3 linked regions of the Saccharomyces cerevisiae S288C genome follow. The protein of the gene in region 2 binds, or shares a complex with, the protein of the main gene of each other region. Each region holds a gene or a part of one and is shown on either strand. Other genes may lie near its edges.

What was found. Proteins that work in one complex are often made in the same cells at the same time.
Region 1: MRPL4 (region 2) and MRPL17 share a complex: the UniProt entries of both Saccharomyces cerevisiae proteins name them as parts of the mitochondrial large ribosomal subunit.
Region 3: MRPL4 (region 2) and MRPL15 share a complex: the UniProt entries of both Saccharomyces cerevisiae proteins name them as parts of the mitochondrial large ribosomal subunit.

The regions. Positions count from the first base shown.
Region 1 is NC_001146.8:170,941-175,104, reverse strand, and holds MRPL17 (mitochondrial 54S ribosomal protein mL46 MRPL17), read left to right. Parts: upstream 1-2,818; coding exon 2,819-3,664; downstream 3,665-4,164. Other genes in the region: Nrd1 complex RNA-binding subunit, read left to right, coding at 790-2,517; TEX1 (Tex1p), read right to left, coding at 3,819-4,164. UniProt on the Saccharomyces cerevisiae protein: Component of the mitochondrial ribosome (mitoribosome), a dedicated translation machinery responsible for the synthesis of mitochondrial genome-encoded proteins, including at least some of the essential transmembrane subunits of the mitochondrial respiratory chain.
Region 2 is NC_001144.5:1,010,797-1,015,950, forward strand, and holds MRPL4 (mitochondrial 54S ribosomal protein uL29m MRPL4), read left to right. Parts: upstream 1-3,694; coding exon 3,695-4,654; downstream 4,655-5,154. Other genes in the region: ECM30 (Ecm30p), read right to left, coding at 1-449; DIF1 (Dif1p), read right to left, coding at 826-1,227; CAR2 (ornithine-oxo-acid transaminase), read left to right, coding at 1,705-2,979; U4/U6-U5 snRNP complex subunit LSM3, read right to left, coding at 3,113-3,382; SEC39 (Sec39p), read right to left, coding at 4,772-5,154. UniProt on the Saccharomyces cerevisiae protein: Component of the mitochondrial ribosome (mitoribosome), a dedicated translation machinery responsible for the synthesis of mitochondrial genome-encoded proteins, including at least some of the essential transmembrane subunits of the mitochondrial respiratory chain.
Region 3 is NC_001144.5:756,726-760,741, forward strand, and holds MRPL15 (mitochondrial 54S ribosomal protein mL57 MRPL15), read left to right. Parts: upstream 1-2,754; coding exon 2,755-3,516; downstream 3,517-4,016. Other genes in the region: Ras family guanine nucleotide exchange factor CDC25, read right to left, coding at 1-268; ATG39 (Atg39p), read right to left, coding at 912-2,108. UniProt on the Saccharomyces cerevisiae protein: Component of the mitochondrial ribosome (mitoribosome), a dedicated translation machinery responsible for the synthesis of mitochondrial genome-encoded proteins, including at least some of the essential transmembrane subunits of the mitochondrial respiratory chain.

The sequences.
Region 1 (4,164 bases), on a different chromosome or scaffold from region 2:
GTTATTATTCTCCGAAAATAATAAGTGAAGGATTGTAACATTACCGCAAGTATTAGTATTGTAAGTGGAAGTACTATCGGTTTCTTGTTTCAATGAATAGCACCAGAAACGCAAAAAATCTACAATTAGTTTATGGTCGAAATGAGCTACTGCGCACGTATAGCGCATTGTTTCCTATTCTACTAAAGTCCGCAATACATAATTCTATCGAGTACTCAAAAACATTATGCTTTTGATGGCTTGTTAGATATCCTTATGACCACTAACCTGAAATTGAGCAAATTCATTGGAAAGTCGGCGGCAAAAATAAATGTTTCGTCTTTGGTGATTTATTGGTCATTACATACGGTACATTTTTGATTTTTTTTTTTGCCACCGGTCGGAGCGGAGGAGGTGAAAAAGAAAAAGTATAAAAGGGCAAGTGTTTCGTCCTTCCTCCATGTTCCATTCCTCGTTAGCATGACTCCCCGCTCCTTCCCTTTACGAGTTTCATGCTTTTAACATATCAAAAGTCAGTACTCGGCAACCTTATTGTATCGTTTTCGTATCGTATCGCATCGTATTATCGTATTGTACACAACTAACTCACCAATCAAGGCTCTTCTTACAATTAGTTACGTTACCGTATCCATTGCTACAACCTATAATTTCAAGCAAAAGAAAAATATACTATTGTCTATTTTTTTGTATTGTAGTTTTCTCTGATTACACATTTTTTCTAGTACTTTTCTCCAAGCACGAGTTACAGGAAAGGAACCGGAAAGCAACAAACATACTAAACATCCCATAATGCAGCAGGACGACGATTTTCAAAATTTTGTAGCTACCTTGGAATCATTCAAAGATTTGAAATCTGGTATTTCAGGTTCTCGTATTAAGAAACTAACCACTTACGCACTTGATCACATTGATATTGAATCGAAAATCATATCTTTGATAATAGACTACTCAAGACTTTGTCCCGATTCTCATAAATTAGGTTCTTTATATATCATCGATTCAATAGGTAGAGCTTACTTGGATGAAACAAGATCAAATTCAAACAGCAGCAGCAACAAACCCGGTACTTGTGCCCATGCCATAAACACGTTGGGCGAAGTAATTCAAGAACTGCTATCCGATGCTATTGCAAAAAGTAATCAAGACCACAAGGAAAAAATTCGTATGCTTTTAGACATTTGGGACAGGTCCGGCTTGTTTCAAAAGAGTTACTTGAACGCCATCAGGTCAAAATGCTTTGCTATGGACATATCGAATAACACCGCGAACACCGCTTCACAACAACTATCACTGGATCCCAAGCAGAGGTCGAAACAAATCTTGTCAAATCTAAAGAAAAGTCCTCCTTTAAACTTGAACATAAGTCTTCCAACTGATTTGACTTCCACAGATCCAGCCAAACAGCAAGCAGCTCTTTTCCAAGTAATAGCGGCTCTGCAGAAACATTTTAAAACTTTGCCTTCACATACATCCGTGGGTACAGTCGCACCTCCCCAAGCCCATACAATTACCGAATATGGTAGCAGACGTGAACGTGAACGTGAAAGAGAAAGATATAACTCAAGAAGGAATAGATCAAGATCTCCTCCGGCACCATTTTCTCAGCCATCGACAGGCAGGAAGGACCGCTATCCATCTGTGGCCCAGGACCAATACAGCATAGGCGCCCCCAATACGACATTTGGCACAAACAATCACCACTTATACCCCGATGAGCTTAATGTTTCCAATAATCCTCATTATAGACCAAAACCAGTAAGTTACGACTCTACATTGCCACCAGATCATATTAAAGTCTACAGCCGTACTCTTTTCATCGGTGGGGTACCACTAAACATGAAGGAATGGGACCTTGCTAACGTTTTAAAACCTTTTGCTGAAGTACAAAGCGTCATTCTGAATAACTCCAGAAAACACGCTTTTGTGAAAGTTTATTCAAGACATGAGGCCGAAAATGTTTTGCAAAACTTCAATAAAGATGGAGCCCTGCCATTGAGAACTAGGTGGGGAGTTGGTTTTGGTCCAAGAGATTGTTGTGACTATCAACACGGTTACAGTATTATTCCTATGCACAGGCTCACGGACGCTGATAAAAAATGGTCAGTAAGTGCGCAATGGGGTGGCACTTCTGGTCAACCTCTCGTTACCGGTATTGTTTTCGAAGAACCGGATATTATCGTTGGTGAAGGTGTTTCTTCCAAGGCAATATCTCAAAAGATGCCTACTGATTCTGGCAGAAATGGGCCACGTTCTGGTAAACCTAACAAATCTGGTAGCATATCGTCGATATCTCCAGTACCCTACGGCAATGCACCATTGGCATCTCCTCCACCACAGCAATATGTGCAACCTATGATGCAGCAACCGTATGGTTATGCCCCCAACCAACCATTACCTTCTCAGGGACCTGCCGCAGCGGCTCCCCCTGTACCTCAGCAACAATTTGACCCCACTGCTCAATTGAATTCTTTGATGAATATGCTTAACCAACAGCAGCAGCAACAACAACAAAGCTAAGATCTTTACTCCACCCTTTATTTGCTCATAGTACATAAAACTAATCTACCTCTATATATAATTTCTGTTTTTTCCTATGTTCCTTTTTTTTTTTTGTTAAATGGACATCCTTATGTATTCACATAACTACTGTGTTTCAAATGTAGCATTATCCTATTCTTTATTCTCTTTTTTTACCGTATTCCTGGTTTTTTTTCAAGGTTTAGATGAAAATGAAAATGAAAAAAAAAAAAGGAAAGAAAACAGTTAAACAATCAATAAACTTTATATTCTACGTAATCATAAGCGCTTATCCAGTACCATGAAGGTAAATTTAATGTTGAAAAGAGGGCTTGCTACTGCAACTGCAACTGCCAGTTCCGCTCCCCCCAAGATTAAAGTCGGAGTACTACTGTCAAGAATCCCTATAATTAAATCAGAATTAAATGAACTAGAGAAAAAATACTATGAGTACCAATCAGAACTAGAAAAGAGACTAATGTGGACGTTTCCGGCATATTTTTATTTCAAAAAGGGTACTGTAGCAGAACACAAATTTCTATCCCTGCAGAAAGGACCTATCTCCAAAAAAAATGGCATTTGGTTTCCTAGAGGCATACCGGACATTAAACATGGCAGAGAAAGAAGTACTAAGCAAGAAGTTAAACTTTCTGATGACAGTACAGTAGCATTTAGCAACAATCAAAAAGAGCAAAGCAAAGACGATGTTAATAGGCCCGTGATTCCCAACGACAGGATAACGGAAGCAGATAGGTCAAATGATATGAAGAGCCTTGAAAGACAATTGAGCAGGACCTTATATCTTTTGGTTAAGGATAAAAGCGGTACTTGGAAATTCCCTAACTTCGATCTTTCTGATGAATCTAAGCCGTTACACGTACACGCAGAGAACGAATTGAAATTGTTGAGCGGTGATCAGATATACACTTGGTCTGTTTCTGCTACGCCCATAGGTGTTTTGCAGGACGAGAGAAATAGGACTGCTGAGTTTATTGTGAAGTCACACATTTTGGCTGGAAAATTTGATTTGGTGGCGTCGAAAAATGATGCATTCGAGGATTTTGCTTGGCTGACAAAAGGTGAGATCAGTGAATATGTACCAAAAGATTACTTTAACAAAACAGAATTTCTTTTAGCGGATAATTGAAATCACAAAAACAGATGCGTTTTTAACGTTACATATACAAAATATATGCGTGCATATATATTTATATATTAGGTTGTCGTCAATCACATGTAAATATCATTAAATGAAAGAAAAAGAATGTGCATTTTCTACCGCATTCCTTCCATCAGGTAACTTATTTTTTTGAGTTGAATCTACTCGGCCTATCCTTGCCAATCCTATCAGTATTCTTACTCGTCCTTTTATTGTGGTTGTTGCCTCCACCGTTGTTTTTCCTACGTTTTTCAATCATCGTGTTATCGAACATGTCTTTCCAATAAGTTATTAGATTTTTTTCGTTTTTAACAAAATGATTTGATAGTGTGTCATTCTTGCCTGACATGATATACCATGATTTATCAGGATAAAACTTCAAAACGGGATCGGTTTTGTAATTGGCTAAAGATTTAGAGTGGAGTAAATTACCACTATTAAGATCATAGAAATATACCATTTCATCTTCTGTACAAATTCCTAGTATT
Region 2 (5,154 bases):
GTCTTTATGGCGTTGATAAGCCGCGAAGAATGAAGTCCCGTACGGGAAGCGGGCAAGGAGTTCGCGGAAAGAATAATGTAGAGCGAAAGGAAGACAATCAAGTTGTTGAAGTTGGGTGGGTTCAAACTAGAGATAATGTGCAGGATTTTTTTAAAACTAGAGTTAATGCTGAAGTCCTGCACGTCCACTGATATGAAGTCCAAGTAAAAATCGTTGAAGACGGTATCTAGCGGGACATTTGGTTTGTCGCTGAACAACGCTTCAACGTCAGGCCCAGAATCCAGCTTAAAAATTGACAGGTTTAAACTCAACGGATCAGCATCAACTGAAAGGGAGGGCGAGGGCGACGACGTACGTGAAGGGGAGGACGCATCTGCGTCCTCCGGTCGAACCAGAGCGATGCAGTGGTTCAGCAGGATCGAACTGGATTTGGAGTCAGTATTTCCCATTATGCATAGCCTAAGGGAGAATTTTTATGGTTTGATTTGTGTGTATTTCTTTCTCTATTAGCTTTTTCTCTGATTTGTTTGCTTATCTACCTGTACGTGTATGTTGTGTACTCAATAAATAGAGGTCTTTTTTTTTTTTTTTCTCCATAGGTTTACCCGAAAGAAAAAACACCGAAATTAAGCACGTAAACCGGCGGAAAAGCAAGGAAAAACCCCCTGAAGCCAAAGCAACTGCGATAGTTTTTATTATTTGTTATATCCTCTATAAAAAATGTGCGAACAAGAGAAAAGACTATATAAAGAATCTATAAAAGAGAAAGTAAAGTAGGAAAAAGAGAGAAAAAAAGAGAGAGATAAAAAAAATTGTGCAAGTCTGTTAAAGTCTTCTCTTGGATCCATTAACCATTGTTTCGTGCTCCGCGGCAGGTTCCGCGACGTCCCATTTCTCGAGCGAGGACGCCTCGGTCGACATTGTTCTCTGGTTTATCAGCATAGGTGGTAGCGAGTTAGCAGTGGGCAAGGGCGACCTTGTAAATTGCGGAACAATAACGCTCGAGTAATCTCTAATGACACCCGGCTGTAGTGAAGCGTCCGAGGTGCTCGGCGTCCTCGATGCATAACCCTGGTCGACCCGCTGTCTGATTCGCATACCCACAGTCATCAACTGGTCCTTGTGGAAATCCTGTTGCTGCTGCTGCTGCTGCTCCTGTTGTTGTTGTTGTTGTTGAAGCTGTCTCTTTGGGACGAGGCTGCTTGCCCATTCCAGTTGTGCGTCCATTAAGTCTTGTTTGTTCCTGTATTAGTGTGTGATGTAAAGCGTGCGTTTCTTGATCTGGGTTCTCTTGCTGTTTCTTTTTCTTTGTTTTCTTCTCCAATCCTTGCCTGTTGCTACTAGATAAATAAATACCCCACTGGCGGGAAAAAGAAAAAGCACACACACAAACAAACGAGAAGAAAAAAGCGCGTGGTACGAGCCGCGCTAATGAGGAATAGAACCCATGCACCACACGCAAATGTGCGCACGGACAAATTCTGCCCTCTGTTAACGGCAGGACCTGGCGTCCCCTGCCGTTAGCGGCGCTAGCCGACGCCGTAGTCGCGTGCCCTTGCCCTTAGCGGCTGACTGGCTGACTCGATTGCATATATAAATTGCGGCCACCATACGTTGAGTCTTGTTGTTATATGGCGGTTGTTCGTATTACAGCAAAGGATACTACACCACAAGACACCACAGCAGCACAGAACCACAACACCAATGTCCGAAGCTACCCTCTCCTCCAAGCAAACCATTGAATGGGAAAACAAATACTCCGCCCACAACTACCACCCCTTGCCCGTCGTTTTTCACAAGGCTAAGGGCGCACATGTGTGGGACCCGGAGGGTAAGCTGTACCTCGACTTCCTGAGCGCTTATTCTGCCGTCAACCAGGGCCATTGCCATCCTCACATCATCAAGGCTTTGACGGAGCAAGCACAAACACTAACATTGTCCTCCAGAGCGTTCCACAACGATGTTTACGCGCAATTCGCCAAGTTCGTGACCGAATTCTTCGGGTTCGAAACCGTTTTGCCCATGAACACCGGTGCAGAAGCCGTGGAAACTGCTTTGAAGTTGGCCAGAAGATGGGGGTACATGAAGAAGAACATCCCTCAAGATAAAGCCATCATTCTGGGTGCCGAGGGTAACTTCCACGGGAGAACCTTCGGTGCTATCAGTTTGAGTACCGACTACGAGGACTCCAAGTTGCATTTCGGGCCTTTCGTGCCTAACGTTGCCAGTGGTCACTCCGTGCACAAGATCAGATACGGCCACGCAGAAGATTTCGTCCCTATCTTGGAATCTCCTGAAGGTAAGAACGTTGCCGCCATCATTCTAGAGCCAATTCAGGGTGAAGCCGGTATCGTCGTGCCCCCCGCAGACTACTTCCCAAAGGTCTCCGCATTATGCCGTAAGCACAACGTCCTATTGATCGTTGACGAAATTCAAACCGGTATCGGTAGAACCGGTGAGTTGCTTTGCTACGACCACTACAAGGCAGAGGCCAAGCCTGATATTGTTTTGTTAGGTAAGGCTCTCTCAGGTGGTGTTCTTCCCGTCTCATGTGTTCTGTCTTCTCACGACATCATGTCTTGCTTTACCCCAGGATCTCACGGTTCTACTTTCGGCGGTAATCCTTTGGCTTCCCGCGTTGCCATCGCCGCCCTCGAGGTCATCCGCGACGAGAAGCTGTGCCAAAGAGCCGCCCAACTGGGTAGCTCTTTCATCGCCCAATTGAAAGCTCTCCAAGCCAAATCTAACGGTATAATCTCTGAGGTGCGTGGTATGGGACTGCTTACCGCCATCGTAATCGACCCATCCAAGGCCAATGGTAAGACCGCTTGGGACTTGTGTCTATTGATGAAGGATCACGGCCTCTTGGCTAAGCCCACCCACGACCACATCATCAGATTGGCTCCTCCTTTGGTCATCTCCGAAGAGGACTTGCAAACCGGTGTCGAAACCATTGCCAAGTGTATCGATCTGTTATAATATTAATACGCATTTTTTTTATGTTTTCTCGTTTCTTTTCTTTTTTTTGTTTTATATCTTACACATTTTTAATATACTAAAAGTAAAATAAAAAAATACGTACTGTTTCCCTTTGTTTTCTCCTCCTCTTTGCTTATATCTCCACTGCGCCATCGTCATCTTCAGAGGGCGTGCTGATTAGAGTCACTGTGTCTCCTCTGATGAACACCATTTCACATCGTCTTTCGGACTCACTCAACTCCTCGTTGTTTAATTGGTATATGGTCTCTACTGCATCACTCAGCACGATGTTGCAGTGTGAGTCGAACGCTTGCAGTGTGCCCACCAGCGTCCTGGCCCCGCGCAGCTTGATGTACACCCTCTCATCGAGATTGAGTTTCAATAAATCCAAAGGTGTCTCCATTTTCTTGAGTGTGCGTGATGTTGTGTGTGTGTGTGTATTTATCTGCGTGTCTCTCCCCTGTTGTATTGGTTGCTAGAATGGATGGAAACATCCTGCCTCTTGTTTGTTCAAACCTCAGCTTTCTTGCTTTTTTTCTTCTTTCAATATCGCGACCTATCACACAGCACGGATAGCCAAAAGGGCGCATCAGGAAGAAGAAAAAATATCATTTCAGCAAACTAAAAGAATTGCCCTGAAAGCTATCGAGCCCTGGTAAGAGAGTACCATTCTATCTCTGCGGCTAGAAAAAAATACCATAAAAATATAATAAAAATGTGGAAGAGATCGTTCCACTCCCAAGGAGGGCCCCTGCGTGCCAGAACAAAGTTTACCAAACCAAAGCCAAAACAACCGGTGCTTCCCAAAGACAAAATAAGACCGCCCACTCAATTGACTCATCACTCCAACAACCTGAGGATTACCGAACCAATCCCACCAACAACCTCAAACCTGCGCTGTCCCGACGACCACCCGCTGTGGCAGTTCTTCTCCAACAAGAAATTCATCAGGTCCGCCGACGACTTGCCGCCTTCCAGCCATATCAGACCCTGGAGCATCCCAGAGTTGAGGCACAAGTCCTTTAACGACTTGCATTCCCTTTGGTACAACTGCCTCAGGGAGCAAAATGTGCTTGCTCGCGAAAACCATCTCTTGAAAAACATTGTTGGCTCCACGCATGACGAATTCAGTGAGCTCTCTAACTCTATCAGAACCACCATGTGGCAAATAAGACATGTACTTAACGAAAGAGAGCTGGCCTATAGCGCTTCACGCGAATTTTTACAGGATGAATCGGAGAGGAAAAAGTTCTTGGATACTTTGGCCAACGATTACTTCTTGAACAAGGATATCCCTGATGACGAAGTCGCCTCCATGCTCACACGATTCCAGTTGGCCATTTTCGGCATATCGGAAACCATCCAGGATAATACAGTCGACATTAACTTCATCGACGGGATCAAGTTCTTGGCAAACTTAAAACTACAGCGGTTCAAGGACTCCAATGACCTCATATCCGAAATATCACAAGAACCGATCACAGACGTGGGCGAGTCGTTCATCTTATTCACTTCCGACTTCGAACCTCATGCCGTTCAAGAGGCTTGTGTCGCCATCAAAGACCTGAGAAAGTCCCCAGATAATAAAGTCCCTAAATTAGACGAACTCCCCACCGTGAGAAAATACTTGAAACAGCTAATTCATGCAAGCTCCGTGGAGCAAGCAACTGCATGATTCCCGTGGGCTTCCTACCCTCTCTCCTGTAAATATATATATATATATATATCCACACACACTCGCACATACATACACACATACATACACCTTTATATAGCTATACGCTGTATGTATTCAGAAATTAGTCACGTTGTGGAAAATCTCCCTAGCAATGCCGCCTACCTTACTCTTATTGTCGTTCTGTCCGTCCAGTGCGTACTTGTCTTTCACCAGGTCACGGGCGCTTAGCTCCAATTCTAGTGTGCTCCATTGCGATGTAACAATTTCGACTTCCTCAAGGGGGCAAACCTCCAGTAAGCGGCCCAAGATGCTCATCTGCAGAACAATTATCTCTGTGGGAATTTCATTATCCACCCAATTTGGATCGACAAACTTCCCCATTTGATAAAATGTTAACCAATGCTCATCGCCCAACGCCTTCATCATATGTTGGCCCGCTTCTTGACAAATTTCAAACACTTGCTTGCCCAATTCGTATGCTGTGCCAAAATCTAAAT
Region 3 (4,016 bases), 260 kb from region 2:
TGGTTTCCCCTTGTTGTACAGACAAAAGTTGCGAAGAACTGTCTTTTTTAATGGGATAATTAAAGTCATAAGCAGCGACTACTATTCCAATTGGACGAATGCTGGTCAACTCACTTGTCGAGGGGGAAGAAGAAAGAGAAGCTGAGGATGATTCTGTGTTAGTGGTAGTGGAAGTGTTAGATGAAGAGCTGATCGATGGAGTTTGTGAAGCATTGCCTGCCTCCCTTGCAGAACTTGTATTGGGAATAGACGTGTTAGTATCGGACATGATACAACTATCCAATATCCACCTTGCTTTTTCGTTTTATTTTTTAGTATTTATTCGAAGAAAAATGTGGCTCTTTTTATTCAATTTCTTTCCGAAAAAGAAACAGTCTATCTAACTAAAGGAATTGCTTCACGGTGATCAAGTCACTATAACTGTCTCCGCCGTGTTGGTGATGCAGTTTTCTCTGTAACTTTTGAGCTTATTTTTCTATTTTATTTTTTCCTCCAGGTCTCTGTCAAAGATCCGTCTCCCGCGATGTTTAAAAGTCGTTTTAGCGAATTACATAATAACCTGGAGGTGACTGACGTCGACTATTTTCTGCCCCATAAAGCAACAAAATATTTAACTCATAAAAGCTTCGAAGAATATGTAAATATAGTAGTATGAATCTAACTGAGTAAAAAAAGGGAATAACAAAACAAAAAAAAAGGAAAAGAGATGGATAGCATACGTTATGAAAGTAATAAAACCTTAGAGATAGAGATAGAGAGAGAGAGAGAGAGAGATGCACCTTTTCTATTCTCAATAAAAAAAGGAAAGTAAGTGTAAAAAAATTTAAAGGAGGGATATATGACACTCCTACTAAGCAGTCGTTTTTTTTTTCTTTTGTTAATTTCATTCTTCATGCTGGGTTTTGGATGATCTAGTGTTTGCACTTAAAATAATTTTTTTTCCTGCATTCTGACATCGCTTTATACATCCTCGAATGCTGTAATTTCAATCCGAACCGTTTCAGCTGCTTTACAAACCAGTTGGTATCTTTGCGAACCTTAAACTGAAAAACTCGGAATGGTTTCATTGACTTGAAACGAAGCTTGCGCAACTGCAATCTGGATCCCGACCAACATTGTTTTGCTTTTTGGCAAGAATGATCGAAATACCTTTTAATATGTGGAGAAAATTGCCTGTATTTATTATGAAGTAGCACAAAGAGCCTTTTCCAGCGGCGTTTCTGTTCTTTATGCAATACCCTTAAACTTTCTTGAGCGGATTTAAAAGAATTCTTGAGAAATAGGTGTAACTTTATTCTTCCTCCGTTTATTTTGTTAATTCTCTTGTGCCAACCGTCTTTCATTCGAGCTTTTGTTGTATACCATAAAATAACTAAGTCTGTTTTGTATCGTCTCCAGCCCATTAGGTCATCATCCTTTAATGGGTATGCAATATGATTGTCGAAGTCGACGTAGTATTTTCCTGAAGGAGCCCACTGACTTAAAGAGTCACTTGATGAATCGTAAGATTTTTTATCAACAAAATCGATATTGCCGTACAACAGCTTCCTTTCATTATTACGTAATGACTGTTGTGATTTAAAACCTGCCAACACATCACCAGTCAGGGAATATTCGAGGGCGAGGTATGAAAAGGTCATGGAAAGCAATGAAGATAGCATGATAACATGCCACATCTTCAATTTAGCAGATTTACCCTCACTTTTATCTATGATATGATCCGATAGTGTGCTAGAATTCCTTATCGTACTATCCTTCAGTTTCGACCCCTCCATACTTGGCAATACCGTTCCGCCAACATTTGAGCCGGACAAAGTATCAAATGACTCTGAAATAGTGGGAACTCCAGTTTGATCAATATTAACTCCAGCATTACTAAATTCATTAGATGTTCTAAAATCGTAAATACGATTCATCTGTGCAGACTCTTCACTGCTAGTGTTCGATAGGACATCTGCATCGAAGTCCTCGTCGTCCTCTCCTGCAAAGGAGCTTTCATGCAAACTATCCAAAGATATTTCTGACTTCGATGACTGTTCTTCCCCTTCTCTCCCTTTACGTAATCTACGTAATCTAACTAAATTCCAATGATCGTCTTCTTCTGACATTTTAGGTCCGACAACTCGACTGTTTTACTAGTCTCTATTATCGTCACTGCGTATTACTCTGCTACTGTGCTTGTTACTTTATACCGGAACAGTAGCTCCTAAACGATTATTCCAAATGAAGAAAAACGTTTGGCCAGTAACCTGCATAAAACTGAATAACTATAATGATACTCCGACTAATAATATATCCCAATGCCCCATCTCATCTGTGTAGATCAATTTTTATGGCTCGATCCAGGTACCTTGATAAGCAGCTGTCGCGCAAAGGGGTTACCGCAAAATGGATAGATGGACCGGGGGCACACCGGGGTAGGGGGTCCGGAGGGTTAACTGTCAACTCCACCCATACAAGACCGCGCAGAAATCGTCGCAGGACCCCGCCGAACGGCGAAAGCAAATATGCAGCCGTAAAGACCTAACAATAAACCTAATGTAGTCATAGGGCTAATTGATTTTAAATATATGACCTAGCTGACTATTCAAGTTTGCCCTAATTGATGAGTTTTTGAAAAAAAAAACAACTTAGGTTTCGCTATCCAAGCTTATGCTATGGGAAGCGTTGGAAAACTTGCATATAGTATGAACAAGAGCGAGATATAAAACTATAACGGTAGATGGAAAGTAAAGAGTAGACAAGCTCGGAAACATGGAAAATAGCATGATGTTTATATCGCGTTCCTTGCGGAGACCCGTTACTGCTTTGAACTGCAATTTACAAAGCGTTAGAACAGTCATATACCTTCATAAGGGTCCGAGAATTAATGGTTTGAGACGAGATCCAGAGTCGTACTTGAGAAATCCTAGCGGGGTACTCTTTACTGAAGTTAACGCAAAAGAGTGTCAAGACAAAGTTAGATCCATACTACAATTGCCCAAGTACGGAATAAATTTATCAAACGAACTGATTTTGCAGTGTTTAACACATAAGTCGTTCGCACACGGGTCAAAGCCATACAACGAAAAACTGAATCTGCTAGGAGCACAGTTTTTGAAACTACAGACGTGCATTCATTCGTTAAAGAATGGTTCGCCGGCCGAGAGTTGCGAGAACGGGCAACTTTCTTTGCAGTTCAGCAATCTGGGAACAAAATTCGCTAAGGAATTAACGTCCAAAAACACAGCATGCACATTCGTTAAATTACATAATCTAGACCCTTTCATATTTTGGAAGATGAGAGACCCAATAAAAGATGGCCACATAAATGGTGAAACCACGATTTTTGCTAGTGTCTTGAACGCATTTATTGGTGCAATTCTGTCAACGAATGGATCTGAAAAAGCAGCTAAATTTATCCAAGGAAGTTTGCTGGATAAAGAAGATCTTCATTCCTTGGTTAACATTGCTAATGAAAATGTAGCATCTGCAAAGGCAAAAATATCCGACAAGGAAAATAAAGCATTTCTGTGAAGATACAAAAAATATAGTTGATGGTTCACTGGCCAAAAATGTATAAAAGAAAAATTTATCTGTAAATAGTGATCGAAATAAAATAAGATAATAACTAAAGAATATATATGACTTTACTGTACAGATCTATAATTGAAAAATGACGAGAGGTCCTGTGAAAGAGTCTGCCTGTTCGCCATCTTCACACATTCAACCAATTCCCTGGTGCGCTTGGTTACTTCCATCAGGATATCTGCTAATTTTTGATAGAATCGTTTCTTCCCAAGCTTTGTGGAATCGCATCCATAAGTACACAATTCCGATAACTTTTGCGAGCAATCTGTGAGCCTTTCAATAATTTCTTTACAGTGCTCGCCTAAATCCAGTTTAAAACTTTTTTGGACCATTGCTTTGGTAGTCATATCAATCACCGATTCCAAAATAGGAATAATCTCGATGGAATTTTGACATAATCTCGAAACTGATCTTGCGGACTTGAACAATTTTGATTTAGAGGCTTG